Alligator mississippiensis: one gene and its partners. The protein of the gene in region 2 interacts with the protein of the main gene of each other region in a biochemical or structural test. Links are inferred from orthologs where the notes say so. Each region holds a gene or a part of one and is shown on either strand. Other genes may lie near its edges.

Region 1 (7,791 bases), on a different chromosome or scaffold from region 2:
CTGGAATACAAACTAACCCCAGCAAATGTTGGACAAATTGCTATTTTTACCATGCTGGCTCCTTAGTTTGATCCTACAACTCCAGGATTTGCCATCTACAATCTGGCAGTTAATCATTTGCATTACACATCAAATAAAGCTTTCCAGGGGCCAGCTAATGTGTTGGGATGTTTCAACTGATACAGGGGCAGAATGGCCAAATGCACACGGATGCTAGACCCTCATTAAGACCAGGGACAGAAATTACACAGAAACCAGTATAAGCAATCAGAAACTCTCTCAAATCTGTAGCATAAACACAACTTCAGTGCACATAAACCAGTTTCAAAATGGCTGAAACCAGCTTAAGATAAACCTGGATGGATGTAATATCAGTTAACTGATTTAGATTAAATCAGTTTATTGAACATCTGTCCAGATCCCCTCCAGATTCAAGTTAACTCTCAGTTCCCCAGCACCCCAGGATGCTTTGCACCTCCTCCACAAACCCTCTGCCCCCCATAGGGAGGGCAGGCCTGCCTTGGCCCAAGCTATATGTTCCTGCTGACCAGGGAGGTGTGCTCTAGCACCCCTTGGCTTCTGGCCTAGGCTACTGCAGGCATGCGGCTGCATTTTCAAAATCAAAATGAATACCCATTCAGTTGCTTATTGATTTAATCTACACAACTTTGGCTAACCTGCAAAGATTGAATGGATTCGGCCTCAGGCTCTTGACTATCTGTACTTAGCCTAAAAGTTGGTCCTTTCATACCCCCAAGCACAGTCATTCCAAGAGTCTGCTGCTCAGCATTGTAAACATTAATATTACTCAGATTTGTTCACAGCTTTCCATTTACTTACTATGCACAGTAGGTTTGCAAGAAGATCACCTTTAGGGGCTAGGAGAGAGTAGAGTACCTGCATTACTGGTGACCCAGAGCTGATGTTCAATCCTTTCACAATATTTTCAGCAATTATTTTTGACACATAATTTCTCTGCCTGAGGCTGAGGTCCCAACCCTGAAAATCTATGAATGTGCAGCAATATTGCAGAAGAGACAATCCTTTACTCTAGCTAAGGGAGTCACTGAAGAATTGCTTCTAGGAACCTCCCTCACAGAGACAACTATACCACCACCGAGAAAAAGCTTCTGGAAAGACACCAAGAAGCTCTATGGTGATAACGAGCACCAAAGAACAGTGAAGGGACACCTGGGAGAATACCAACCTGCCGCAAAAATACGTAGTCAGTGACCCTGCAATTCTCCAGCCAGGATTTGACCTATCGAGAAAGATTTGGTCCTCCCTGAATCACATCCAGACACTTAATGGAAAATGTGGACACCTACCCCATAAATAGAGAATCAAAGAATCTGGGTTGCAATTGTGGTGCGATTTTTCAGATGGTGTAACACATTGTAAACGACTGTCAAATTAAATATTTAATGGCAATCTAAAAAAAAAATAAAAAAAAAAATCAATCCATGCAGCTACCCCTAAAGCAGTCTAATGGTTATCAAATTTAGATATTAATCCATGAACATTGTAATCCTGAAATGTCATACAAAAGAAGATCACCCAAGTTACATCATGGCATTCAGGAATAGCAACTAATGACCTGACTTGAATCCCCACCATCATAACAGGGAAGAGCCCTGTACCAAATCTGGCGTGTGGGGCTGGTCTACAGGCCCAAACCAGACCAGCCTGAGATCCAGCACTCAAGGGCAATCTTGTGCAGTACGTGCCCCAGACCAACCCCACAAAGCATGTGGAGCACAGGACCAGTCCAGGGCACATGATGTATGTGGCACTTATGCCAGCCCAGACCTGCATGCTACAGCTGGTCTGTGGCTCAATCCAGACCAGCCCTGGATCCAGTGTGCATGGCCAGCCCAGCACACGTGGTGCACACAGCACATGCCCCAGACTGGTCCCACCCACTGTGTGTAGCACACATGCTGGCTCCAGCCCTAGCACTGTGTGCAGGCCATGCCCGATGGGCTCCACATGCACCATGAGGGTCTGTGGCCAGCACATGCTGTATACAACATGCCAGCCTGCAAACCTCCAAACACATGCTCTAGGGGCAAGATACTGCAAGGGGCTCTGCAAGGGCCTGCCTAACATCTTCCAGGGTTAGGTAACACCCACCACCATTTAAGTATTTACTTCCTGACCTCTCACGCACTTGGTCTGGAGACAGTGGATTGGGAGCACATTTGAGCGCATTCAAACGAACGCACCGCTTGTAGACAAGGATGGAACAATTACGCTCGCTGCTCAAAACCGATGCAGCGCACCGGTCCGGGGATGCCCATGGCCACTAGGAACAGCTCTGGACCCAGCAGCTCCGAACTCATAGGCCCGCAGGGCTGGGAGGGACCTGGTGAACTCACCTAGCCCAACCCCCTGCTTGAGGCGGGATCATCATTACCCAAACCACCTCGGCCAAGCGTGCGCTGGAGCAGTGCTTCTCAACCGGGGAGCGACCGCGCAGGCTCTGAGGGCGCTTCAGTGCAGGCGCCCTGCCCGGGGCACAGGTCAAGTGGGCGCAGGCTGCAGGGAGAGCCCTCAAGTGGGCAGGAGGCCGCCCCCAGCCAGAGGCGCCGGGACAGCTCCGCCTGCCCCGCTCGCCTGCGTGCCCGCAGCAAGGGCAGAGCGGGAAGGGCCGGGCCGGGGCCAGGGGCACTCCCCTCCGAGGCGGCCCACCCCGCGCACCCCTGGCCGGGCGGGACAGGACGGGCCCACTACCTCGCAGCTGAACTCCATCTCGGCGTCCATGGTGACGATGCGCACCGTGAAGGTCTTGGGCTGTTTCCTCTTCAGCGAGCTGAAGCTCATGCGGGACGCGATGGCCCCGGCCATGGCGGGCTCCGCCGCACCCGGCTCGGGGAGGGCGGGGCGGATCAGCCCCGGGCGCGGGGCCTCAGGGGGCCGGGCCGCGAGGGCGACATGGTGGAAAGGGGGGGGAGGGGCAACACCGGGCCAGGGCGGGCTGGGACCGCCGCTCCCTGCCCCGCCAACCTCCCGTCGCCGCTGCTGGTGCAACTTAACTCCACTACTCCCCGCCATTGGCCCAGCGGCTCGGGAGGGCGGGGCGCCCCTTTCGCCCGCCTCCTGGAGATGCGCTCAGCTAATCGCAAATTCAGTACGCTCCCACCCCCCTAACCCCCCGGCGCTGGGCGCGCTCCGAGTAGCCGAGCCCGGCTGCCACTCCTGCACTCCGGCCCCGCCTCCTCAGCAAGGGCGGTTGAGAGGCCGCCGAGCAACACCGGTCCCTGATTGGGCGAGGGCGGCCCGCGCTCCGGCTCCCCCTGGCGGGGACTCCCGCCTCGCGGCCTGTGGGAGCGCCGTGGGGCCCCGGGTGGAGGCTGGCGCTGTGCAGGAGCACTGGACCCGCCGGAGGGCTTGTTTGTGCACCGCCCCGGGAAGAGGGAAAGGACCTGGTCTGCCCGGGGGCCCCGCTCGGCCTGGCCTAGCCTAGCAAGGGGGCGACCCTGGAGTGGGCTGTCGTCCACAGCGCTGAAAGGCAACGGGCGAGGTCCCATTGTCCTGGCGCAGGCAGGCAGCAGAGCAGATCCAGGCTGGGGATGACTGTCCCAGCTGCAGAGAAAGACCTGGCCGTTGCAGTGGACCCTACACTGAATAGGAGCCAACAGCTTGCCCCTGTTGCCAAAAAACCCCCAAACAAAACAAAGGCAGCAGCATCCTGGGCTATATTAACAGGAGCATCCCTTGCAAATCAAGGGAAGTGATTCTTCCGCTGTATTCAGCCCTGGCGAGGCCTCACCTGGAGTGCCCTGTCCAGGTTTGGGCCCCACACTCCATGCAGGATGTGGACAGGTTGGAAGGAGTTCAGCACAGGGCAGCAGAAATGATCAGGGACCTGAAAGTAAAGGCTGGAAGAGCTAGAGTTATTTAGCTTGGAGAAGAGGATACCAAGGGGTGCTTTGATAACCATCTTCAGTTACTTGCAGGGTGATTGTAGAGAAGATGGAGATAGGCCTGTGGTCATAGGGGATAGGACTAGCGGTGGTCTCAAACTGCAGCAGGGGAAATTTAGGTTGAAGAGCGGTCGGGCATTGGAACAGACTACCTAGAGACATTGTGGACTTGATCCTTGGAAACTTTCAAAAGCAGGTTAGACGCACAGGGATGATCCTGCCTTGAGCAGGGGGCTGGACTAGATGATCTTACAAGGTCCTTTACAGCCTTAATTTGCTGTGATCCTATGAAATGCCTTAGAGTTGAGTGTCAGGCCTACCTTGGCTTGGTCACTTAGGGCAGTGGTTCTCAACCTTTTTTTTCCCCACCAGGACCCATCTATAAACATCAATAATCAGTCTCAGCCCAGTACTATTTGCTAATGACAAATAGTAACTTTGAAGTGGGAATCAAAGTTATCAGAGCCTGTTGTATGGAGGAACAGGAGGCAAATGGAGACACAGCTAATGAGCCAGGTAGACTAAGTCAGTCTCTTATGCATGTATATAGTTGTTATAAGTCAACTAAATAAGCTAATGTAACTGTAAGTGTCCTCTATTCCACTAGGTACAAGCCCTACAAATACCAGATCTGCCCTAGCAGCTGGAAGTTCCAACTCATTTATTACTTGAATTGTAACCCTTGGAGTTTGTTCTGATCCAGGACCCCACAGTGCTAAGCACTCTGCAGATTCTGAACAAAAAGATACTCTTTGCCCCCAAGAGCTAACAGTTGAATGAATCTCCCCATGATACAGGCGGTTTGATTAAATCTCAGTACATGGGGGTAGTGTAGGAATAGGCAGGATATGAAACTAAGATCACTGGGTGCATTCTTCTGAGTGCAAGGAAATTCCATCACATCACTGGCTGGCCTAAGGCTACCGAGTCTATTGCCTGTGACAGAAAACTCTATTAAAACCCAGCAACCATAAAGCTCCAAATGCATCTGCTTCTTTAGGCCTCTAACTTGTTCCACATCCTCTGAATTGTCAGACAGACTAATTTAGAAACTCAAGGAAAGTCAAAGCCATGAAAAGCTTTTATGACTCACCTTTCCTTGCTGGTCCTCTGAGTGCAGAACGTGCAGAATGAGGCTTGAGCTTCCATTTGTAATTTTGAAACCATGCCTATGGTAACAGATTGAGCTGTTCCTGTGTCACTTAATGGGGGCCATGGTTACAGGTGACTTGTGGGCTCAGGGAGGAACTCTTTAATGAAGAGTGCAAGCAGCAATGCTTCATCCTGGTTTCCTGCCAAGTACTTTTGCTTTAAAACCTACATGAGGTTGTGTACTAGGAAGCACACAGAACACAGTATATTAAGTATTATTGTAAAGCATAACCCCTCAGTGCCAAACAGAATTAATTTAAAGGTGACCTACTAGGAGAAAGAAAAAAGAAATGGGTTTGTGCCGTTACTTGCTTCTTTATGATAGATAAAAGCTTTTCAGCTTTATTTTCCTCTTACTTTTATGCCTTAGAAATAACAAGAGTATATAGAGTCTTTTCTTCCCTAACTTAGCTCCCAAAAAGATCTCCCCTCTTTACCCAGTTCTTAGGGTGGGAGTTGTTATTTAACAAGAGCTTTTCTCTCAACTGCTTTTATCAAACATTTGCGTTCTAAATACCATAAATTAAAATAGTTTCTTAACTCAGAGAAATGGAGGTTTTTCTTCCCAGCTGCTTGTGATTCCATGATTCTAACAGTTTTCCACATATCCATAGAGTCCTCTAGGGCAGAGCTGTTCAACTTCAGAGTAACTGGGGGCTGTTCAGGTCATGGGCCCCAGGCTGCATGGGCTCTCTGGGACCCCCACCGCATGTAACCCCATGGCCACATAAGTACCAAGGGCTTCCCACTGCCACAGCCACCACTGCACTGGTGATACCCCTGCCATGCCCCCCCTGCCCAAGCCCCAACTTCTGATGCTGTTGCACAGGCAGCAAACTGAATAGACTGTGTCTCCCTTCATGCTGCCCTGCTCCAGAAACCCCCCAGCCACAACCACCGCAGCCAGAGTAATGGAAGCAGTAGCAGATAGGTGGAAACGCAAGGGCCACTGAGTAACCCTTTTTGGGCTGGATGTGGTCTGCAGGATGCCATTTGGACAGCCCTGCTCTAGGGAAAGTAAAGGCTAGAAAGGATCTGAATTTATAAAGTAAAAACCAGCAGAAGAGCAAAATTGTCCTTTAGCTCTCTAAAAAATAAATAGAAAATATTTTTCTGGCTTTCTTTGTTCATCAAAAAGAAAAACAACTAAAGAGGTACTAGCCATTTTGGAAGGTCATTCATTTATTGCTAGCAAGATTTTAATGTTTTGTATTTATGTTGTGGTAGCAGCTAAAGAACCCAAGCAAATCTGACCTCCTGCATGCTAGGCATTGTACAGACTCCTAGTAAATGACCCTCCCTCTACCACAGTCCTTAAGAACAGCTTCTTAAAAGGTATTTAGGCCCCAACTCCTATTGAAATCATGGAAATTAACCACCTAAATACTTTTAAAATGTGCCCTTACACTCTTAAGGCCTTATTCCACCAAGAAAACTATCCAAGGAGGCCCAGCTCCAGTACAGACCACCGGCAATAATGATGGGGATTGCCGCAGTCATAGGGGTTCACATACACAGCTCTCCTTTGTAGGATGGGGGCACTAAAGAAAACCAATAGCAGCGATCACAAGAATACCAGGTCACCCAACAGAGAGTATATGTGATTCTATTTTCAAAGGGCTTTACAAGAAGCCTTTCTAATTCTCCAGTGAGTGAGTGATATTAGGAAAGAAATAATGGAAAAGGTGAGTTTTTACTGAAAGAGTACTGTTAATATGAAAGCCTCCCCTTTCCCTAGCCACTCACCACCAAAAAGAGCCTTGATTTTACAAACAGACCTTAGATTATTCAATTGGGAGGGGTTTTTTAGGTTAATTTATGCTTTCAATTTTGCATGCTTCTTTCAACTTGGATGATTAAATAAGCCAGTCACATTCACTTTCTGGATATAATTCTTATTAGCTGGTTAACTGTCAAGCAGGGATCGTCTGCTCAACACTGTGCCATAAATAGAAGTCTAGGGTGGAATCCTGGCACCATTAAAACAGATGAGAGCTTTGCAACCAGGATGTCACCCGCTGACCCTGCTCCAGAGAATTTACAATCAAAGGGCCCTAAGAGGTATGATCAAAGTGCAAACACTTGGGAACATGCTTAACTGGAAGCACATGCATAGTCCTGTTAACTTCAGGAGGACTGTTCACCTGGATAAAGACATGCAATATTCTGGCCCCCTCAAGCACCCAATCCTACAAACATTTAAGCTACTGTGGAACTTCACCCATGTGAATAGCATGTCTATCTAATTTAGGCATTGACCTGGCCTCCATTACTATAATATAAAAGCACTTCATAATCCTTAACACATTTATCCTAATAGACTAATAGATTGCTAGGGGCAGGAAGGGACCTTATAAATTATCAGGTCCAGTTCCCCCACACTAAGCAAGAAAAGACAGCTAGGGTCAAGTGACCCCAGCAAGGTGACTGTCCAGTCTCCTTTTGAAGATTTCCAGGGCAGGTGACTGTTGGGCAGTCATCGTGTAAGGGCATACGCCCCAACATCCCGCTGACATTCACTGGCCCCTCAGGGTGGCTGTGCTCCTATGGCTGAGCTGGATGAGATCAGATGACACTTCTTTTCCCTCCTGCCACGACTTTGATGATATAAGAGATCTATAAAAGGGAGGTGGTAACTGCCTGTCTCCTGCCCAGCTCAATCACAAGGGGCTGCCCCGCACCCCAGGGCCCAAATCTGAGAGTGAAGGAAGGA
Region 2 (7,945 bases):
ATTTTTAAGGAGGCGTATTAGCTGATACCGATCCGATTTCCGATATGCAGCTTGAAGAGCGGTGTCTGACTGGTAAGTCTGTCGTGGTGGAAGGAAAGAGGGAAGGGAAAGGGTGTCAGGAAAGGGGGGGCAGATCAAGGCTTCTGCAGTGAGGGAAGGAGTGGGGCTGGGGCAGGCGCTGCCCAGCAAGGGTGGAGCAGGGTGTGGGACAGAGCCAGGCTTGTCCAGGGGGCACAGGGAGGGGGAGGGGCAGCTCCTGCCACTGCACACACCCCAGGAGGGCATGGAGGGGTGTGCCCCCCGGATCTGCGTGGGGCAGGCTGCTACTGCGGGCTGGGGCCGGGGCTGCACCGGGCTGTGCTCTGGGCAGGTAGAAGAGATGCTGGAAAGGGGAATTGTGGGGGGGGCTGCAGTCACCCCAAAATTCACCATAGTCCCCAACCTCCCCTCCCAGAGCTGCTGCCTGCCTCGAGTGCAGTCCCACTCAACACCCCGCTGGGAAGAGCCCAGCGCAGTCCCAGGCTGCAGCGGCAGCCCACCCTAGAAGTAAATTAATGTTTATTATTAGTTATGGCCAAAATGAGAGAAGGTTCCCTTTTGCACAAGCTGAACAAAAATGGATGACTGTTACCCTCATCTATGCAAATCTAGGAATGGTTCCCAGTGACGCAGGGCATCTGAGATGACTACAGTCTGACTTATCTAACCTGTGAGAGAATGCATATGACAGTGTTGTCAAGAACTGGAGATAAACAATTAGCCCTTTCTTTTTTATTAATTTTATAAATTTGTTTCTATACCACCTTATTCTATACTATATCATCACCTACACTCACCAGTCAGAAACGCTGTAAGTACAATAAATAATGGATGGCATATTAATCTTGTACCCCTGCATATGTTATTCTATTAATATGGGGGACAGCTAGTAAGAACATGCATAAAAATGGTGAAAATTCAATAAACTATTAATTTTAAACATGCATCCCTTCCTTATGTACTAGCACAATAAAACCCGTCTTAAAGAAGCCATGCAAATGAATCTGCCAACAGAAGGCGGAGTGAAGCTGTATTTGGGACAGCCTTTTAGGGCTGGGTGCTCTTTTTTTAACATCTTTGTATCTTTCTAATGCACCCCTCCCTTTTGCCTTCCAAGATGGTACAAAACTAAAAGATGCACCTGATCTTCCTTTCTTCCTTAGGCTGAGATCTTACTTTTCTCTTAGTCTCTATACATATTCTGCACAGCCAGGTTGTGCTCATAGAAAAGCAAAGCAGGAGGGGAAACACCATTATTTCTCCACAACTCTTGAGTTGAAACTATAGCCTAATGGACGGTGCAGATCTAACGGGTATCACCCCACCCTCATGTGAGGCAGTGTGTGGCAGGGTAGACGCAGACAACGTGAGCTTTATCCCTTCTGCCCCTGCCCGGCTTTGTGTGTTGGAGCATCTGTGAAACTATGACATGAAACACATCTCCTACATGCTTGACACAAAATCAGCCACCACTCCTGTACAGAACCAGTGATACCAATGCACTCAAAGCCCCTGTTCTCTTAACAGGTTGGGGGGGGGGGGGCAGGTCAGATTTGACCCAAAGCCCTCAAGCTGCAGGAGCTCACTTTCAAGAAAGCCTAAAATGGACCACCAGTCTGTTTCAAAATCTTACTTCAGGTTTTAAAAATGTAACAGTGGCCCACCAGTTTTGTGTGGTTAGTGATGCTTCTTGCTAGTGCAGAAGATGCTCCGCTTTGAACACCACCACATAAAACCCAGACTGTCATTACTATACATGTGGCTGATCACAAGGTTTGGGAAGCTTGTCCTGATATTACAAAGGGAAGTTGACAGCAATATAAACTGTCTCTTTTTTTTTTTTTTCTTCCACACTGCAAACTTAACCTAGGCTTCCACATTGCAATTAGCAACTCCTAGTGCTCTCCAATGCATAGTGAAAAACAGATAGGATGTTAATTGTGTTCAGGTGTGGGACCAGGGTTACAAGTTCAGCTCTCTACCTTGCAACACAGCGGGGACCAACCCTGGAGGAAGCATTCGGAAACTGCGGGAAAGGGAGAGAATTGCTCGATTCTCTCTGAAATTCATCAGGATAGACAGGACGCTCTTTGCTTATACCTCTCTGACAAGAAATACGCCTCTTTACACTCAAGGGAGAAAAAATGGGGGGGCCACAGGGCGCCGTTACTCGAACCCCGCCAGCTGGCAGGTGCGCGCTGCCCCGTGATACCCCTACCAAAGTTTTGCTCCGTCTCTCGTGAGGCTCAAGCAAGCCCTAAATTATTTAAATTCGCAGTAAAAGCCAGAGGCCCGGGAGGGGGGGAGGGGGGGAGGGACAGCGAGCTTCCCAAACACGCTCCAACCTGGCGCGTCGCGACTGCTGCTGCCCACACGCGCGCGGGCATTTGGGCACAACAGCCGCGCGCCCAACCTACTCGAAGAAAAGCACAAGTTAGTGGCACAGAAATCTCGAAACCCCCCGCCCGCCCGCCCGCCCGCGGGGGCCGACAGCTCGCCCCCTCCCCGAGCCCCTGGGGAAACCAGAGCAAATTCGGAAAGGACGCCTGGCGCCCTGGGGGGCCGGGGGCAGCCGCAACAGGCCACCAAGTGGCACCGGCTCCACGTGGGGGCGAGGCAGGGGGTCTCTGGAGGGGGCGAGGCCGCCTGCCCTGGGAGCTGGGGGAGGCCGGGAGGCGCCTCCCGCCCCTCAGAGCCCGGCCCGGGCCGCAGGGGAGGGCGAGCCGGGCTCCCGCGGGAGGGCAGGACAGGGCAGGGCAGGGCCCAGGCGGGCGGGCGGCCCCGCACAGGCCCCGGCACTCACCCGGGCAGCGGCTCCTCGGCGCGGGCCTAGCTGGGCGGCTGCAGCCTCCTGCTCCGGCCGCAAACCATCCCCGGGCGGCGGCGGCGGCTGGCGCTGGGGCTCAGCCCATGGGGCCCGGGCGGGCGCTGCTGCTGCTGCCGCTGCCCGGCGGCTCCTTCCCCGCCTCCCTTCGCCCGCCCGCCCGCCCGCCCGCCTTCCCTCCCGGGCCGGGCCGGGCTCGGCGCCCCCTCGCGCAGCCCGTCTGCTCCCAGCGCTGCCGCCGGGTCCTACCGCCGCCCGCCTGTCCGCCCGCCCGCTCGCCCACCCTGCGCGGGGGCAGCCTGCGGGTCTGGAGGAGGCGAAGCAGCCCGGAGCCACCCCGGGCCCTGCCGCAGGGAGGCTGCAAAGCCTGCTCCTGGAGCCTGGAGGGGTGGGGGGAGCAGTGTTTCATCCCCAGGGTTTCACACTAGGCCTCTGCCCCCTTACATGTATTGCGTGTGTCCGGCTTTCGTTTGACCACGGTGGCCCCCCTGCTCGGTGGGGCGCGAGGAAGCCAGCCCCGCCGCGTGGGCAGGTGTTTGCGCGCGACTAGACCAGGCCGTGAGGTCGGCGCCGGTCGTGGGGCTCGAGGAGCGGTGTGGGACACACGCCGAGGTCGGGCCCACGCCACCTCCGTGCGCCGCATCGGCCTTGCGCCACCCCAGCCGGCCCTGCACGGTCCAAGTAGCCCGGGGGCTCCCCACTGGTTTGGAAATTTGTCATTAAGAGAGCAGCAATGACCGGCCGCTGCTTCCCTACTGCCCAATATTTGGACCCGTGGATTTGGCCCTCAGGCTGGGGCTTGAGCGCGCCGGGCTGCACCGTAAAGTTATCAGCAGTGGTTCTCAGCCCTTTGTTCGATTCAAGGCCCCACTCGGAAAATGACCTTGCGCTCATTTTATGACTACGGGAATAATAACAGAGCATTTTTTCTCTTGCGAAGACCTCGGAAAAGCCTCCGCAGGTCAGCGCGGTTTTAACGCTCTAGATTCCTATTTGAAATCTCTGACCGGGTCCAGACATGCAGGGACATGCGGGCTGCGGTGCCACAAACTGGATGAGGCAAACGTTAAAAAGTGCCCTGTGCTGCAGTGCAGGGTCAACATTTACTGCTGGGATTTCCCGGTAGCAGAAAAACCCCAAATGGAACAAAAAGCAGTGCAACACACATACGACAAGCACGCACAGAGGCCAGGCCACCTAGAGCAATACTCTGACTACCGCCTAGGCCTCGGTACTGCCCAACCTGTACCCCTGCTGCTCCAGGCCACCAGGTAAGACTAGTGCTGGCCCTACTGGTACTGAAGAGCCAGGGGGAGCTGGGCAAGGGTAGTCTGCTCATTGCAGGACAACTTATCCCACAACAAAGCGCACATGCAGGGGTGTACATTATGGCAATTTATGCCACTGCAAGTGCATGCCCCTGCATGTCTGGACTTGGCCTCTAGGCTTAACTTGTGAATCAAGTGTAGGCGTTTGCACGCTTAACAGTGCTAATATTACACCACATCACCCTTAAAAGAATCTCACAGCGCCCCAAGGTACTATAATGCTCTGATTGAGAGTCAGTGTTATAAGGCTTGCTATTGCCATCCTTTAGCAAACGTTTGCGACACAGTCATGCTTTGCATGCGTACAGCACCTTTCATGTACAATTCTCACCACATCTTATAAATATTGATTACTACCTTGGGCATGGCAGGACCAGTAAGAGTATTTTAATATCCCTTTTAAGAGTGGGTAAGACAAGGCCCAGGAAGATACTTGTCACAACTGTATAGAGAGCTTGTAGCAATGAAATGGTCAGAGCAAGGGAATACTGAAATCTGGACAAGGAACCAGATAAGACTGCTCCTAAATATAACAGTGACCTGAAGCATGAGAGTCTACAATTGCTGACCTGTAGTGTTTGGAGTCTACAGTACACCATTTTTTGTGAGTTTTTATGTGCAGGTCTGTTCTGGAAAAATTAAAATGCCACCAATACATTTATTGCTCTTCCAGGTTTCCCATGTCAAATTTACCCCATTTGCTAAGATGTTTATGTTTTAACTGTCTGTGCTGGAAACTCTGGATTATGGGAGTCACATCTAATTCAGAACCATACAGTTACTAGTAACAAAGTTTCTGTAACTGAAACCTAGTTAGCGAATATATTGATGATACAGAAGTCAGCAAATAATTCAGTTCACTTTTTCAGAGCTGAGTTGGTCCTCACATTTTAATCTTATGGGTGAGTTTATGTAGTTACACTATACCCATCACAGTGTATCTAAATTTATAAAAGATCATTGGATTTTATGTAGCTTGAGGCATCAAAAGAATCCCTAACAGAAAAGAGTTGGGAGTGGGGCATTCATTCACTCTTTTAAAAGGAAAAGGGAGTGTTTATTTCCCCTTTTCGATAAAAATGGCCAGCTGCAGTCAAGGTATCTCTATAATTATTTCCTCCAGGTGAAACAGCAATCCATCTATGAGATTGTATATGACTGATTTCAGCTGGATGGTCATGTTGTCACCATTGTCGTCAGCAGTCCTTCTATACAAGGATGACACTACGTTAGCATACATTTTAATATCTACTTCAATAGGGAGATAAGCAATTTATTTTATAAGCTAAACTGTGACACATGCCATGTCATCTCAGTTAATGCCAGATCCAATACCACAGATGTCAATGGAAACATTTCCACTTTCAGTAGGCACTGGAATAGATATTAACAGTGTTGCCATCTCTAGGCAAATACAAATACATTGGAAGAGACAAGCAAGTGGCAAATTCTAGTGATAATGAAAATTATTATTATTGCTATTACCATTATTTTTATTAGTATTTCTTTTTTCTCAGGCATGCAAATACATTCAAGTTTGTCACTAAGCATCACACACATGAATATTTAGCTGTAGATTAAAATGTTTTAAGTATCAAAGATAACTGTTTGACTTACCTTCCCCTGACTGGACTAGAAAGAAACTAAATATCAAAGTATAGAGTCTGCAGTATATTAACAGAAGTTAACAGATACATCCAGAAGAATATTAACCTAATAGTTTGATCTTTATTTTAGGGCCTGCACTCACACGTACCTCAGCCAATGCAAAAGCCTTGGTGACTCCTTTTGAGTTCTTAATAATGCAAAACTATATCTGCTAACAGATGCGGTTGCAGAATCAAAGCCTGTTTCCTGCCTTTTTTTGTGCTAAATCTTGTTCTAACTGGTCTGATCCCAGATCACCTGGCGAAAAAGAATCTGTAAAGTTTCCTCTGGAAATCTCATTTTGGTTGTTAACAAAGAAACACAATTTTTTTAAAAAACAACAGGCAATTTAGATTTACCAGTTGCTGATTTCAAAGGATAGTGGATGTGGACCCAAGCTACACAGTTCTGGACCTAAACTTCCCCCAAAGAACTTGGGAGCGTTCAGATCAGGGGTTGCAGCTCTGGCTCAGCTCTATGACTGCAGATTAAAAATAACTGGGTAGAATAGGAAGTGACTGCTTTGCAATAACAGAAGAGATTTGTATTGAGGCATGAAGAAAAACATGGCATTTTTCATTTAGAACAATTAAATCACGAGGGTATTGTTATAAATGCAAACATCATGGGTTTTATAATTCAATTATTGACAATGGCATTACAGTCTATAAACCCTAATTTTCAGGGAAGTCCCTAGATTTCCCTAAACACTTCCTCACATTTCGCATCTGTTTATTCTGATTTAGGAACTAGTAAGAAACAAGGTGTGCGAACTATTCCCTAGCATTATATTACAATACAACTACTTAATATGTGGGTTAATAGCAAAGAAGGGATGGATTTCTGGCTTATAAATCAATACAGCATTGTGAGATTGACCTGTCTAGCCTCATTCATTGTTGAAAATATATAGAGATATGATATAATTTGATGATAATTTTTAAATGGTTTCTTTAAAACTTTCTCAAAAACTATTGGAGACAATATTTAAGAGAAGAAAAGTCTGTCAGCAAAAAAGTGAAGAAGAGCTACATTGACCCCTAAAATAACAGGGGCTATTCCACTGCTGTCTAGAGCAGTGTATCTTTTATGTGCCTGTGGCGACTCTGTTCCTCTCTCTTTAAAAGATATTTTACACGAAACTCAAGCAACACAAGGGAAGAGATGAGAGGTGAAATTCCCTTGACTTTTACTATTAACTTTAGCAGAGGCAGAATTTCAGCTTAAATAGTTCCACCCTTTAAATAAAGATGAATCAGATTTAGACTAACATAGAAATCCAGATTGATATGAAAACAAAATTAAAAGCACATAACTTTAACCTACAAAAGCTGAAAAAGGGGCAGGCATCCTTCTACATATGAAGAAGTCCAGTGTTTAAAAGGAAATGGATATTTCTGGAGTAGCAAAACAATAACTGACAAAGGGGAAAGTTTAATCTAGTTGTTGAAAATGTATAGTGCAAACAATTAAATCTCTAGAGTGAATTTGATGCAAACAGTGCTCTTTAAACTAATGTTTTAAATTAAAGGTAGATCTGAACTACTTCATGTTTACAAACATATTTTGTTGGAAGCATTTCCCAATGGCTCATAGAAGCACTCAGCATAGCCAAATAGGAGACTGAGGTTTGCTTTTAGTCTCTATTTCCTGGTCCCCCAAGACGACAGCCTGGCAGCAGCGAGAAGGCAGTCAGCTTGCTTTTGCTGGAGAAAGGGGAGGAGAAAGGCAGGATTCGTAAGTGATCGGTGGTAGCTTCTCTGGCAGATTCATGAGTGGTATTGACAAATTCCAATGGGAAAACCCTCTGCTCCTCCTCAACTGAGAAGTTGGTGTCTATGACATTTGGAAACAAACGTGCAGTGGGGAATTCTGTGAACAAACAGTAACTGAATTGGTTAGATAAAACAGCAAACATACCACTTCTCTCCCCTATCCCGATCATTTGTAGCATTAGTAGTAATATAACAGCACCCAACATTCCCAATCAACACCAGGGCAACGTTTGGGACTGTACAAATATAAAGAAAAAGCAATCTTTAATTTTAATGTATTACAGTCTATTTTAAATAGCTGATTTTTTTCCTCTGTTAGTAATGCCATATCT
Region 3 (6,864 bases), on a different chromosome or scaffold from region 2:
GTGACTAGAGGCACTTTAACAGAAAAAAATTAGTTATGTAAACAAAACTGCAACAATTTACTCAAATAGAGCCCTGAGGATATGACCACAAAATAAAGGAGAATCTAATTACTCCATATTTAATCTCATTTGAATGCCAGTTTCTAAGTAACATGGTATTTTATCACACATCTTTTCCAAAAAAAAGGCATGTTGGATACAGCATCTCAGTACAGATCGCATAAAGATTTAGAACCTCAACTAGAATGGGCAGACAGCAATAGGACTAGACCTCCGACACACACAGACAGCCCCCCATACACGTGAAACAGAGTCATGCTCCCTTGCAATTAAAAATGGAGGATTCTTTACTAGTCTCAAATGCACGGCAGAAATCTAAGACACATCAAAAAGATGTTTACACGCAGATCATGAATAAAACAGGGTTGTTTTTGCTCCTAACATTTTGTTCGTAATTTGGTATCTCCACAGGCCACACTTGGCAAGCAGACGTGAGCTATTCCATTGAGAAGCCTACGGTATCTTTGTTGTGTCCCCTGAAGATAGTGAAACATTCTGCCACTAACAGTAAGACTAAGGTTGAAGTGTTAGACTAACTTGTTGTAAATAACTACCTTTAGTAACTTTTTTTGTCAAGTTTATTTAAGGAAGGAAACTTTTCCACCTAAAATGAGGAAACAAGAATTTTGAAGTCAATGCATACATTCATTCCTTTTCTGGCGAAAAGAGATGCAGATTTTTAGGACTTCTCCCAAATCCTACATTATTATCCTTTCCACTATATAGGGCTTTCAAAATTCACTTGCCCAAACCAAGATCTTCTCCAAATAAATCCTATTAAGACATAGGAGGAAAGAAAAACATGAAGCATGTTCATTATCAATCTTCCCAGCGGGAACAGAGTATAACCAAGCACTGCTGCCTTCAGCCTGCAGAACAATGGATGGAGGGCCTCCCCTGCGAGGAGAATGAGAACCGAGGAGCGCTGCTGGTTTCCACAGCTGCAATCCAGCATCCTGTGGGTGGCAGTGAATTAGCAAGAGCTGCATTAGTCAGTGAAGCTTGGGAAAAGCTTGACAGCAAGGGGGCAGGCACAAATGCTCTTAATTGGGAAAGAAAAAAAAAACTCATCCCTTTAAAGGCATTAGCTTGAGGGGCTGGGGTGGCTAGGAGGGAAAACACACCTCTCCTCCTACTCCAGATGATGCTCCTCTCAAGCGTACCTGAGCCTCCAGGTGGTAATTAGTGAGACATCAGGCAGAAGACAAGATAGAGATGTACCTAGAGACTAACTCACCAAGTGTCAAGAAATATTTCGAAACTCCACGTGCAACTTGAGGCAAGGGATGATGGAAAACCTGATGGGACATGTAGTTAACGCATGGAATTCATTGCCACAGCAGGTGGTAGAAGCGGACAACACAGCCAGGTTCAAAAAAGGGACTAGGCAAACTCATGGAAGACAGATCTATTAATAGTTGCTGAACCGAAGGGTTGACGATATTTCCCCCAGCATCTCCAACCCGATAACAGTGGATCCAGGGAGGGTAGTGAATAGGGGATACGTCACTCTAGAGATATCTGGTTCAACGCTTTCCCTCTGGCATCCATTTCTCCCATTGTTGGAGACAGGCCTCTCTGATGTGCCAGGGGGGATTGCAGCCCACAGCCCACCAAGGAAACTATATTATAACAACGGAGACCACTAAAGACATCAGAGGGTTTCTTCGGACAAATCGTAAGGAAACAGGAAAGGCAGCGAAGTTGCAGGTTAATCACAAGAGAGGCAGAAAGGGACACCAAGCAGAGCACACCACTGCCCCTGAATGAGCCTGCGGACTTTGACCAGCGAAACTGCCCAGAGACGTGAGCGGAGGAGTAAAAGGAAGACAGCCCCACGCTCACCCAGGCTCCCCTGGCCACAGCCTCCTCCCTGTCTAGCACATGGCGGGACCCAGATCAACCAAAAACTCCCAGGACTTGGTGAGGGACACAAGGAAGGAGCACATAAAAGAAAAGATGTGGGAAGAACAGCAACCAGAGGCTGTGAAACTCCCTGCCACCAGCTGTGGCGGAAACTGACCGCTTAGCCAGATACAGAAAGGGACTGGACACGTTCTCGGAGGAAAGGGACACCCGTCGCTATTGAGCGGCGGAGCGAGGGGCACGGCCTCCGAATCGAACATCCTACGCCTGTAAGTGCTGGAGGCCGCGAGCGGGAGAGCAACAGCGGAAACAACCCCCGGTCACTCTCCCTGCCCGCATCCGCTCCGCCGTGGCGCGACACCGGCCTTCGATATCCCAGTCTGGAACGTGGGCCAAAGTCCACCACGTCCAGCTATGAGCCCTGCCTGGCGAGGGGGCCCCCCGAGGGCACGTCGCCGATTGCTTGGCACAACTAAGAGACAAAAGTCAGGGGAAACACTGAGCAGAGCAAGTCACACGGCATCCACTCGCCCTCGGACACGTCCCCGCGGCACGCGCGGGCCGGGGGCAAGCCCGGCCCCATCGCCGCTGCACGACTCGAGGGGTCCAAGGGACAGGGCACCGCGGGACCTCACCCAGGAAGGAGGCTGCGTTTTCCTGTCCCTCGTGTGCTCGCATCTCTGGGCCGTTTCACCACCGGCTCCTCGGCCTCGCTCCCACCCCCGTCTTCCTCGCTATTGTCACCCTAATCCCGCGACGAGCACGCAGCGACCCCCCACATCACGGGAGGGCTTGCAGCTGTCCTCAGGCCGACCCCGCGCGCCCCTCAGCCCGCACCTTCTTGTAGTGCTTGCCGAGCCAGACGCGCGCCGAGTCCAGCTGCGACACGGTGTCGGGGCTCTCCCAGAACTTGCCCGTGGGGCCGCCGTCCTTGCGCCGCGCCACGGCCAGGGCCGCCCAGCCCGGCGCCGCTGCCGCCGCCCCGGCGCCCGCCGCCACCGCCGCCATTGCTGCCCCGGCCGAGCGCCGCCCGCGCGGGCCTGCGCCGCCCACTCGCCTCACGCCGCGCATGCGTGGAGCCGCGCACGCCACGCCCCGCCCCTCTGGGCATGCTCGGCCACCCGCGCCCGCTGCCGCCGCCGCAGCCGCCGCGCCGGTGCCTGCCTGCGTCACCGCCGCGCAGGCGCACGGCGCCCGACGCTTCTGCGCATGCCTGGCGGCAGAGCCGACCCGCTTTTTTTTTTTTTTTCCCTTGACGGGTTTATTTTACTATTTTTTTATTATTATTATTATTATTATTGGCTCTGCGCATGGGGAGTGTAGGCGCGAAGTCTAGTCGCGGAAGTGGGGGGTGCTGAGCATATGGGCGCGAAGCATAGTTGCGCATGCGTGGGAACGGGTAGGGGGAGCGTGTAAGTGGGCATGCGTGGAGTCCTGGGTAGTGTTGACTATGTGGGCGCGAAGCTTAGCTATAGCTACGCATGCGTGGAAACTGGGGTGAGGGGAGAGTAGGTGCGCATGCGTGGATAGCTGAGTAGGCGCGAAGCTTAGCTATAGCTGCGCATGCGTGGATGCCGGGTAGGGGATCATGTGGGCGAGCGTGCGTGGAAGCGGGGTGGTTGAATGGGCCCGAAGGCTAGTTATAGCTGTGCGTGCGTCGATGAGGGAGGGGAAGTGTGGGCGCCTGGGTGGCTTGAGTATGTGGGCGCAAAGCTTAGCCATAGCTGCGCATGCGTTGAAGCCCGGTAGCTAGGACATGCGTAGCAGCCTTAGTAAGTTGAGAGTGTCGGCGCGAAGCCTTGTCACAACTGCGCATGCGTGGAAGCCGGGTAGTGGGACCATGTGGGCGCGAGGCTCAGTCATAGCTGCGTATGCGTGGAAAGCGGCGTAGGGGAGCATATGGGTGCGCATGCGTGAATTCCTGGGTAGGCTGAATAAGCGCGGTTAGCCATAGCTGCGCATGCGCAGAAGCCGGGTTAGGGTTGCATGTCGGTGCGCGTGCGTGGAAGCCGCGGTAGGGGAGCACGTGGGTGAACTCATAGTTGCGCATGCGTGGGAGCCAGGGTTGGGGAACACGTGTGTTTGCTGTGATGCGGGTTAGGGGCGGCTCTTGCCCATTTTATTGGGGCAGGGCCTGCTCCGTGGGGGTCTAGGCTGGGGAGAAGGCATCGGCACATATGCAAAGCACCTATTTTTTGCAGTTAAAAAGAAACTAGAAGCTTTCCTGATAGGCGGGGAGGGGCTGGGTGAACCAGTATGGGATTGAAGCAAAACCAGCTCTCGCTTCATTGCACTGAGTTGTAGCCAGTCAGTCAGTCTGCAGGGCTGTGAAATGGGAGCGTCCCACCAGGAGGCAGAGCAGAGAGTAGCTTGCCTGGCGGCAGGTGAAGACCATTACAAGGAAGGGAGGGTCATTAACACCTGTGGAAAGAGGAGTTTAGAAGGGATCAGGTAGATCACAACGAGTCACAGTCAACTGACTCCTTCGGCACTGCCTGACTGGCCATACTGCTGTCACGCTGCCAGGCAGCTGGTTTTCAACTTTGGGAGGAGCAGGACTCCGAGCGGGGTGCAAGTGCACCAGTGCACCCACCCCTGGATCCACCCCTGGCCTGCTCCAGCTGCCGCCCCTCCAAGCACGAGTCAGCCAGGGCTGGATGCGAACGGAGGTGCCTGGGCTGTGCTGGCTACGGGGTCGGCGGGCAGCGTGGTCTCGCGTGTGCATCTGCTGTGATGGGCAGGGGGATCCAAAAGCCACAGTCTCTTCAAGCATCCCCTGCATTTGGCCCCAAGGGCACCTGAGTCATGAGCTCGGTGTCACGAGGATGAGGATACTGCAGGCAACGTTCAGCCTAGCAATTCACCACCAGGGTGCTATGGGGGTGCAACAGGATCCTTTCAGGGGTATACACAGCATAAGATACTGCTGAGGTGTGCAAATGTGGTTCACAAGAGAATCCCAGAGATTGCAAACAGAAACCCATGGTTGTGGTCTTGCTGAGTTCTTTGCAACAGAAGAATTGCTCTATTACTCTTCAGTAGCCAAATAAAAGGCATCATCTCTGAACCAAGAGCTCTAGATTTTTGCATTTCTTTGTCCCAGATCAACACGACTACCAAATACATCCCTAAAAGTCAGAGCTGGCACTTTCCAAGCAGTTCCCTGAGTCTACCCAGAGGATTTCCAGTCTAAGAAAGTTGAGGAGCACTGGTGCAGTCCCTCCCAGCTGCCCCAGGACCCCCCTCTCTGAGCAAAATACCCCTAAGGGCCGTTTCCAGCCACCTCCAAACTTCCTGCTCTTTGCTCGGTCACCCCAGCTCCCAGCCTTCATCCTGCCCTTGGCCGGCCACCCTGCAGAATGAAGACACCTGGTTGCATCTTTGTCTCTGGACCGGATCCCTGCTGGGAATCTCTCTCCCATCCTTCCATGTTTAAGCTGCCAGCCGTTTCATAGTAGGATTGGACCAGTTCCTGGAGGAAAGGCCCATCAGCAGGTGTTGTGGTCTGAGCCAGTTCTTAAGATCAAGGTTACTCCCTCCTCTGTCTCGGAGCTCTCCAAGGCGAGTGCTACATGAATTTGGATTCCACCCAGAGGCTCTTGCCTGTGGGTTTACAGTTTGTCTTCTCCTCAGTTTTTGCACATGAAATACAAAAAATACATCAAAAGCTTGCCGTCACAGCTAAGGTCAGGAGATGACAGAATTAAACAATGGAGCTTTAACGCTGTGTCCCTGCAAGGCTGTATGATGACACGCTGTTCTTTTCACGGTGCACAGCCCGGACGGTGCTTGCTGCATGTGCAGCTCTGCCATATTTTGTTCTCTCCTTGTTGCTTGGGGCGTGAGCCCCATGCCTTAGTTACACACCATAGTGAGCACTCCAGAGAAAGAAGCTGATCTGCTCTTGGGCTTTCATTGGAGGGCAAGTACAGGCAAAGGTCCATGGTTTGAATTCTCCCAACACTTCTGCAAGGGGAGGGAACAGCATCATCCCCTCTGTCTTGTTGAGGAGCTGAGGTGCAGACCTGAAGATCAAAACTTTCAACCTCTCTTGGATGCCTAAGCAGACACACCCAGGACCTGAGATTTTAGAGTGATCAGCCCCTTCCAGGGGTGTTCAGCTTCCAGCCCATTGGCCAGATCTTGCCTGCAAGGCCATGTCATCGAGCCCAAGAGTCTTCCCACAGATCCAGAGATTTGGTGATGGGGGAGCAGTCCCCCGCTGCCAAATTTCCAGACCCGTGGCATGGGGAGTCCTGCATCCAGGTGACATGGCTCTACAAGCTAGATAGTGCTAGTACATGGAGCCACACACGTACATGTAGTTCTCAGCTGCATCTGGGGGGTCAGGCCACACAGCGCTAATAAATGACACGGGTATTTGCTAACAGCAAAAGGATTGTGAAACTGAATCCAGACAAGACACGGGATGCTGGTGAGCAGGCCATGTGACCTAGGGGTACTGGGGTACCTGCCATGGATGGGGTTCAGCCTCCCCTTGTCACTCAAGTTTGCAGCCTTGAGGTGCTCCCGGATCTTGTGCTGCACCTGGATCTTCAGGTGGTGGGGGTCACTAGGAACAGCTGCAGCCCTTTCTTTCAGAGTCTGATCTGGCCACCACCATCCAGGCCTTTGCAGCTCAAGGCTAGACCACCACAATGTGCTCTACGCAGGGCTGCCCTTGAGAAGGGTCATCAGAAGCACATAACTCCAGTGCTCCAGGGTCTGCACTAGCTCCCAGGAGCTTTTTGCACGCAATTCAAGGGAAGTGTTGGAATTCACTTATAATGCCCTAAACATCCTGAGACCTATACCCCTAAGGTAGCACCTTCTCTATGCCTCACTGCAGTCCCAAAGGTCAAGAGCAACCTCCTGCGTGTACCAGCCATGCACCAAGTCCCTTGGGCAAAAACACATTGCTCTCAGCAGTTGCTCCTC
Region 4 (7,955 bases), on a different chromosome or scaffold from region 2:
GGGGCAAGTGCCACTGTGGTGAAGGCGGCCCCAGTTCCAACCCGGGCCAGCCCCTCCACCTGGCAGGTGTTACACTGCCGGGGCTGTGGTCCTCCAGCGTTGTGGGACAGGCCTGGGCTGAAGCTGACTTGGGGGGAGCGGGGGCATGGGCTCTGTGCTGCCCTTGGCTGACCGCCCACCTCTCTGCCAGCCCCGATGTCCTGTCCCATCCTGTTTCAGCGGTACTGGTGCTGGTGCTGGTGGCTGTCCGCAGACGGCAGAGAGCAGAAATGGGAGTGGGGCTGCCCGTGGGGCCTCCTGGCAACAGACAGCCCCGGTAAGCTGCCACCACCTGCACCTGTATGGCCTGGCTGAGGGCAGGAGCATCGCGCTGCCTGCCCCGGATGCCTGCTGCCAGGATGCCTGCCTGGGCTGTGCTGCCCCTGGTGCCCAGGCCCCATGGGCTCTTGCATTAATTCGCCCCTGTGTGTGGCGCCTGGTTTGACTTGACTCGGAGCTATTCTTTTCAGTCATCCATTATCTATCAACTTCCAGCAACCCGCTACCAACCATTCACTGGTTTCATCACAAAGGAGCCCATTGCAGGATTTTCCAGTGGCTGCCTAGGTCTGGCATATTGTGGGATGGAGTCTAGAAGGGCCCGGATTGTGTCAATTCAGGGGCTTAAAATTCATAGCAGTCACTCTTCTGAATCAGGAATTCAAAGATGACACTGCTGGCTGTCACGTTTGATGATCTTCTGTCTAATCAGAGCTCCTGATGGCTGCAGCTCAGGTGCAGCATGTACTCAGGGGACGGCTCTCACGGTTACTCTGACAGATCAGTGCTCTTATATTGCTTTAAAGGAAAAGGAGCCCTCAGAAGGGAATTAATGGGCTCACTGCCAGCCAGCTCCTTGTTATCCACAGATACATTCCTGGTCACCAGGGGAGCATTTAATGAGAAAACAGGGCAACTGCTTTACAAAAATATATATATATATATATATATGTGCAGCCACTCACCTGCCTCTGGGCTTCCCAGTAAACCCTGAATGCAGAGTCAGCTTTTCACTGGTTGTAAATGGATATAGCACTATTGAAATCGATGTTGCTCTGCCTGTCTACCCTGGTTGGGGATCTGGCTCAAAAAGACTGTGGTTTGAAAGAGTCCCTGAACAAAGTAGGGGAGGGGACGATTCATAGGCAATCAGGCCAAGCTATAGGTCAAAGCTTTGTTGGTTTCTTTGGGTTGGGTTGAAACCTGGTTGAATGTGTTGGGGGTTCAGGTGATTCATCGATTCATAGATGCTGGGGTCGGAAGGACCCTCAACAGATCATCGAGTCTGATGATTGTACACTGAGTTTTCCATTAGACTTTGAGGAAGGGAGACTGAGTAGGACTGGTTGAGGACTGCGGGTGGGGGAGGTATTTCATTACCATTCCCTCCTTCACCCACATTTCTCTGATGAGATCCAGGACTGTGAATGTGCTGGTCAGCTCTTGCGCTGATATGGATCGGGTGAGGGAGAAAGGGTGGAAGGAATGTGATTTGTGTTCACATGATTCCCCCGAAGTGACAACTGCTGCATCTGGGGCAGCTCTGCCCAGCAGGCCCGTTGGTGCTGGATTGCTCATCACCTGGGATAAGCCCTGGGTTGTGGGTAAGACTTCCAGGGCCTTGGGAGACAGTGCAGGCAGGTGGCTGTGGCAGGGAGAATGGCTTCTGTCTTAGTCCTAGCTCTGCCACTGACCTACTGTGTCACCTTAGGCAAGTCCCTGTCCAGCTCTGGGCCTCAGTCTCCCTCCCCTGCCCTTTGGGGGCTCTCTGGGGGCAGGAGCTGCTGTTCACCTGTGCGAGTGTATCGTGCCCTGCACCATGGGTTTAAGCTGCTAGGGCTACTTTAAAAATAATGAAATGGATTGAATAATTGATCTGATCCCCACATCAACTCCTTCCTCCATTCCCAGGTCCAGGGACTTTGTAGAGCTGAGGCAGGTGGGGCTCTTCCTTCTCTACCATCTTTGGACTAAACCCCCTCAGGAGTTACACCAAGGAGGGACCTGAGCCAACAACTCCCCCATGCTGAAAGCAGAGGGAGCAACTCACCCTGGGCTGTTATCTAGTTCAGCAAGGCAGCGAGGTCAGGAGGAGAAGGGAAGAGGAGGCAGGGGTCTGGCTGAGAAAGGAGCCAGGGGAAATGGAGGCCTCAGCTGCCAGCTTTGCAGAGGGGCAGGCACTGGAGTGAGGCCACCCCAGCTTCCCTCTAGGTCTAGCATTGCAATGACACAAGACAGCCAGCACTGCCAACATGCACCCCCTGCCCTGCAACTGGGAGAAATCTAGAGGTTTGGGGCCGGTGATCAGATCTGGGGATAGGATCTGGGGGTCTCTAGAGCTGACAAGATCATTATGACTGTGCAAGCCAAAGGGCTGGCACTGCTAGGTGGGAGCTGCAACAGCCTCACAGATCTGGCCTGGGAGGGGACAGGTAGCTCATGCTGGCCACTGAGTTACACATGCAGCAGGCATAAGGTGAGGAATGGGTTCATAGAAAGGCTCCCATGGGAGGCCAATTGTGCTCCAGCCCAAGACAGGAGAAGCTAAAGGCAGCACTCACCAGTGATCTCTACAATGCCATCCTTGGTCTTCACCACCAGCTCCTCTGGGGCAAAATGGTTGACATCTAGGGTGACCTTCCAGCTCTCTGAGGTCTGCCGGATCTCCGAGATGCCACGGCTGAGCTGGCGGCTCAGGGCCTGACTGTAGTCAATGCTGGTGGCAGTGGGCGAGGTGATGATGGGGCTGGCAGCAGCGGCGACCATGGGTGCAGCAGCTTGGCTGGGCATGAAGCGGAAGTAGCCTGGCCAGCTGGTGCCACTGGGCCACTTGTACCAGTCCTCGGGGATGTGAGGCATCCCGAAGGACTGGTCAAAGAGGCGGCTGCCCTGGTACCAGTCCCGGAAGGGGTCCCAGCTGGGGCCGCGAAGGAAGGTGAAGGGCACTCGGCGCTCCGACATGTTGGGCTTCCTGCAGGTCCCACCTCAGCAGCCCGGCAAAGCGAGCTCTGTCTGTACGGAGCAGCTGCCTCCCGCCAGCCCCTTATGAAGAGGCAGCCAGTTATTTTTAGCCAAGAATTTCAGCTCACTATTAATGGAAATTACACCAGGACCGTGTAACTGCTGATGAACATCAGTCAGGCCTGGACTCTGCCAACTTACTCCCAGTCTGTTTGTCATCTTACAGCTGCCCTCTGTCCAAAGGAGAGGGTGGGGAGAGACGGACAGCTCCCCAGCCTGAGAGCAGCATTGATCACACCGCACAATGCAAGATGGGTCAGGAGCAGGGTGGGGCGATTCCTTCTGGAAGGGACGCTGGCACCCCCGTTGGTCTTGGCAGAGAATTTGCTGCTTCACTGTTGACAGAGCAAGCCAGGATGGATGTCTCTCCGCCTTCAGCTCTTTGTTCCTCTCAAATCTCAGGGACACCGAGTCTGATTTGGCAGCAGGAGGAATTGGATGTGTGCCATGAGCTTTCTCAGCCCTTCCTTCAGGGAAGAATGTTACATTTTTAACAAAGAAATCTTTTCTCCCCTGTGTTTCTCAGGGGTCTGAGTTAAATAAGGGGCTTAACAAAAGCAAAGCCCCCTAATTTTAGACTCTCAGAGCAGTAAAAACCCTTCCTAACCCTCTTAATTCAAATTCACAGATTCTGAGTTTTAAAACTAGAAGCAACTATCTAGTTGCCTAGTCTGACCCTTTGTCGAATATCGACCACTCCATTTCACCAAGTGCCCCTGCACTGAGCCGCGGGCATGTTACTTTGACGATATTTCTAATGCCAGAAGCCAGCCATGTTTCCAGGCATTTCTTGCGCGTTCCAAGAGAAACAGGCTCGAGAAGACAAATGGAAAAAGATCAAATGAGTCTGAGCTTTCTCTGTGCATCCTGCAGACACAAAGAAGGGCACAGACCTCTTTTTTTCATTTCAGATCACCTTCAAAGATTCCCACAAAATAAAGCCTTTTAAAATAGAGAAAGGTATTTTTAAAAGCATTCACTGTTGTCCTAACTTTGCTCCAACTGATAAGAAGTGTAAGGCTCCAGCTGGCTTCAGTAATAGCTGGGCCAGTGCCGTGAGCCCATAAGCCACCCTTGCCCATCAGTCTAATGAGAGGAGCGATTTTCTCTCCCAGAATCCTCCGGTGTCACGTGGCCCAGCTCATGTTGTCCCAAATCCCCACTTCTTAACTGTTCTCTCAGCATGTCTTACAGCATGCTTGGCCAAACTCTCCGGTGGTGTAAGCTGATGCCGTCCCATCGGAGCGGATGGAGCCGTGCCAGCTGAGGCCAGCGCAGGATTTGGCCGCGTGTCCCTGCCTGGAATCTTCTAGGTCCTGAGTCACACCGGGCTGCGGCGCTGCTCGTCTCCCAGCCTGCAGGCTCGAAAATCTTGGCAAGGTGGACGGAGATAAGCTTCGCTTGCCAGCCTGGCTGGCTGTCCTATCACATCCTCTCAGTTCGCTCAGGAACTGAATGGGAAGGGCTGTCTGTCACAGACGTGTTCAAATGACCTGCATTTCACACCGGGCTAAGCAGCGGGTTCCCACCGTTTCCTACCCACTGCCGGGCGGCCGACCCCTCTCGGAGGTGGTGCCTGGAGGGTTTTCCTGGCCGGATGAGTTGAGGTACGTGGTGGCCCTATGAATGAGTGATCAGGGAAGCCCCTGCAACCACCCCTCATGTGCACATCGTTCACATGTGCACATACCATCTTCTGTACCCGCTGCAGTCCAAGCCATCCCAGCCGAGGGAAGCTTTCCCTGCCTTTCAGTCTCAGTCCCCTATTAGTTACATGCCAACGCCGTTACTCTGTGTTATAAACAGCTCCTCTCTCCTGGGTCTCTACATCTTCCAGAATGACCCTTCCCAGCAGATGGTCTGTTCTCCTTTAGCTGTTCTCGGTTAGCCCTTGGCAAGCAGGCCGCAGTCCCTCCGGCCTCTTGGCCCTTTTCCTAATTCTTCTCTGAACCCCCTTCCAACTTTCCCTATCTATGTTCATTAGGAGAGCTCACAGGGCCGCTGCTCAGATACACTTACCATGTCTGGACCACAGAGACATGAAAGGCTTTGGCCTTGAGGACACTCTTACAGCTGTCTGCCCAGACCCCAGAGGCAGCTTGGACGAGGCTCATGTTTACCCTTGAGGAACACTAGGCAAGGTCGGTAGCTCTCTTTCTCCGGGATGAGCTTCTCCCAGCACCTCTAGCATGGCAGGCTAGACTATGCCTGATGGTGAAGGCACAGGCTTGGGAGTCTCCAGGCTCTGCCACAGCTGACTTTGGCCAAGTTACTTTATCTTGCTGTGCCAGCTCCTCAAGGGCAACAGGCCACTGGTCTCAGCTGGTGCCTCAAAACTGCTGCAGCATACATGCAATGCAAAGGCACAGCTTGTTGGCCAATGCTTAAATGAGCAGGACTCTCCAGGGGCTGCTTGACCTTTATCTGGCTTGAGCAGAGTCTGTGTTTTCACATTTTATATACAATCTGCAGAGGGATCAAGGGGAACAAGTGACACGTGTGTGTTTGTGTGTCATGGTGAGAGACAGTGGCAATGCATAGGGGGTGGACATGCACCCCTGAGAGCACCGGTGCACCCCCCTGCCCAGCCACGCTCGTTGCTTAGGCAATGGGCAGGGAGCAGGTGGGAGCACTGGTGCCCCCCTGCAGGCACCGGCTGATTGCTGCAGCTGCTCCCAGAAGTGGCTCCAGCCCCGGTTGGCTGGACTGGTCAAAGGGGGGGCATGTGCCCCCCTGACTAAGGTGGCACCAGGCACCCATGGTGAGAGAAGAGCTTTGTTGAGGTACAAAGCAGCAGGCCTGCCCGCAAGTGTCCTTGCTGCGCTCCCCCCTATCGTGTTGCAATTGGTCGGGTTGCATTTGAGCGGTGGTGGCTGTTTTCGTTCAGGCTGGAAAAAACCTCTCTTTGGCAGCTGCCTTGCTGACAGCGTGTGCCAGGGTAGGGGTCGCTGGGTTTGCAGATGGTGACGTCAGAAACTGCAGGTGCTCATAACCTAGCAAGCGGGCTGAGGTCAGGCAGTGCAGAGCGAAGGGGAGGAGGGTGAGCACGAGGGTTCAGTGGGTGGCTGAGGGAAGGGTGGGTGAGTCATGCGCACGTGGCTGGGCTGGGGGGTTGGACCGGCTGGTGGATAAGTGGCAGCAGAGGAGGGGGGGGAAGTGGGTAGATAAGGCCAGGGCAGCTTGGGCCGTGGGTGGCTGGATGACGTTCGACCTCCTGAAAGCCAGGAACAACAGTGAAGCACCATGTAGGTACTGGAGCAAGATGGGGTTACAGGACCCTTTCCTGGAGCTAAAGTGCACAGGGAAGGGTGGAGTCAGCCTTCAGGGGGGCTGTCAGGGCCCAGGGCTTGTTATACCCCACGATGGGCTGCCAGCCCTATTCCCCACCTTGCCAGTGCTTTTCTGCCAGTGTGGAGCTGTGCCCATGTGAGCTGCACACGGCCTTTTCCATCAACGGCATGATGTGCCAGCTGGTCCCCTTCTTCCCCAGTTTGTTGGTTTAGGCTCCACAGGCTGAGGTGCCCCTGCTATCCAGTGCCCCATCTGGCAGTGACTGTCCAGTGCACAGTTACTTGCCTTCACCCATCTTTGTGTCCTGGAGCTGATGCCCTTTCTCACATGGGAGACACTCGTTCAAAGTCAGAGCCCATCTGCTGCCCTGCAGCTGCTTGACATCCTGGGAGCTAGTGCTCAGCGCAGTGAAGGCAGGATGATTTATAACCCCAGGCCCCTGTGCAGTTTCCAGCCACTCCTTCCTCCTTCCAACTGCAGCTCTGTGCCCTCCCTGCCCATACTGCCCCAGCCCCTCCTTCCCTCTGCTTCCCACAGATTCAGCCCTGAAAGCTTCCTAGTCACCTGAGCCAGCAGCACAGGTTTGAGCTGGCCTGCCAGCCCAGCTGTGCTTGCAGTGGGCACCTGTGGCCTCTTTATGGGCACCCCGACAGACTCTTTCATGATGGGCTGGGGCAGCCACCTTGCGCTTTGTCTTAGGTCTCTGAGGAGCCCTTCAGCCGGGCTCTGCAGGGTGTGTTGAGCCACAGCTGCATTAGACTTGCTACCTTCCAGTCTATGGGCAGGGTGGGGACATTAATGGTCCCCAGGCTACAGGGGAGAGGCTGAGTGCCCCCATGGTCTGCTCTGTAGTCAGCTGCCATGTCCTCCCTGGCATCTGCGGAGGCCTCCTTTGGAGCAGCCCCTTTGGTGCCAGCTTACAGTCAGTCTGGGGGGCATGTCCAGTCCCAGGTGCAGACTGGGGCATGAAGCCTATGGGTGTGGACAGGCAGGGCCCTCCCCAACCCTGCTGCTGCCAGACAGGCTCCTGCAGTGTGTGTAGGGGCCTGATTCCCCACAATTTTTAGGCCAAGGCAAGGGGCCATTCTGGCTGGGCACCCCAGATGCAGACTGCTGCACTGGCTGGGGGCAGAGCCTGGAGAAGCCCACCAAGGGGGCTGTGGGTCCCGTGAGCTGACCCCTTCGGGGGGTGGCTGAGGCGGGCCAGCAGAGCGATGGAGGGGAACAGTTCTCTGGCTTCGCAGCTCCCCCACCATCCTCACCCTGCAAGAGCAGAGGCTGCCCACACAGCATCAGTGCGTGGAGCTAGCATCCTCCTGCCCACACAGTGGCTGCCCCTGCATGGGCCAGTCTGAGCCCAGCCACCTGCAGCCGTAGTTACAGACTCATTAGCAACCGCGGCATGCGGGCAGCTGTCTGCTCACAGCTAGCTCTGGGCTGCGGTAGTGGGGGCATGAGGGCAAGGCCAGAGCCTGTCTGGGATGTCCGGCAGCCCTGCAAGGTGACAGCGAGGGCACGGCTAGGTCCCTTGTTGCTGACTGGGCACTGCCAGGGCTGGAGGCGGGGCTGCGGGGGGGGAAGCTAATATTGCCTTTTGCCTCAAT

The links.
Region 1: the proteins of AKT1 (region 2) and NF2 form a complex in vitro, tested with the Homo sapiens proteins (2 studies listed by BioGRID, with this or other methods). The link is inferred for Alligator mississippiensis from reciprocal best matches to the Homo sapiens genes AKT1 and NF2.
Region 3: of the proteins of AKT1 (region 2) and SMARCC1, one has a biochemical effect on the other in vitro, tested with the Homo sapiens proteins (2 studies listed by BioGRID, with this or other methods). The link is inferred for Alligator mississippiensis from reciprocal best matches to the Homo sapiens genes AKT1 and SMARCC1.
Region 4: the proteins of AKT1 (region 2) and HSPB1 form a complex in vitro, tested with the Homo sapiens proteins (3 studies listed by BioGRID, with this or other methods). The link is inferred for Alligator mississippiensis from reciprocal best matches to the Homo sapiens genes AKT1 and HSPB1.

What each region holds. Positions count from the first base shown.
Region 1 is NC_081833.1:26,673,862-26,681,652, reverse strand, and holds the start of NF2 (merlin), read right to left. Parts: upstream 3,012-7,791; 5' UTR 2,848-3,011; coding exon 2,734-2,847; intron 1,416-2,733; exon of another isoform or gene 1,329-1,415; intron 1-1,328. UniProt on the Homo sapiens protein: Probable regulator of the Hippo/SWH (Sav/Wts/Hpo) signaling pathway, a signaling pathway that plays a pivotal role in tumor suppression by restricting proliferation and promoting apoptosis.
Region 2 is NC_081825.1:289,116,305-289,124,249, forward strand, and holds the start of AKT1 (RAC-alpha serine/threonine-protein kinase), read right to left. Parts: upstream 3,014-7,945; 5' UTR 2,843-3,013; intron 1-2,842. UniProt on the Homo sapiens protein: AKT1 is one of 3 closely related serine/threonine-protein kinases (AKT1, AKT2 and AKT3) called the AKT kinase, and which regulate many processes including metabolism, proliferation, cell survival, growth and angiogenesis.
Region 3 is NC_081828.1:217,674,084-217,680,947, forward strand, and holds the start of SMARCC1 (SWI/SNF complex subunit SMARCC1), read right to left. Parts: upstream 3,013-6,864; 5' UTR 2,998-3,012; coding exon 2,764-2,997; intron 1-2,763. UniProt on the Homo sapiens protein: Involved in transcriptional activation and repression of select genes by chromatin remodeling (alteration of DNA-nucleosome topology).
Region 4 is NC_081837.1:16,992,346-17,000,300, forward strand, and holds the start of HSPB1 (heat shock protein beta-1), read right to left. Parts: upstream 3,014-7,955; 5' UTR 3,001-3,013; coding exon 2,601-3,000; intron 1-2,600. UniProt on the Homo sapiens protein: Small heat shock protein which functions as a molecular chaperone probably maintaining denatured proteins in a folding-competent state. Plays a role in stress resistance and actin organization.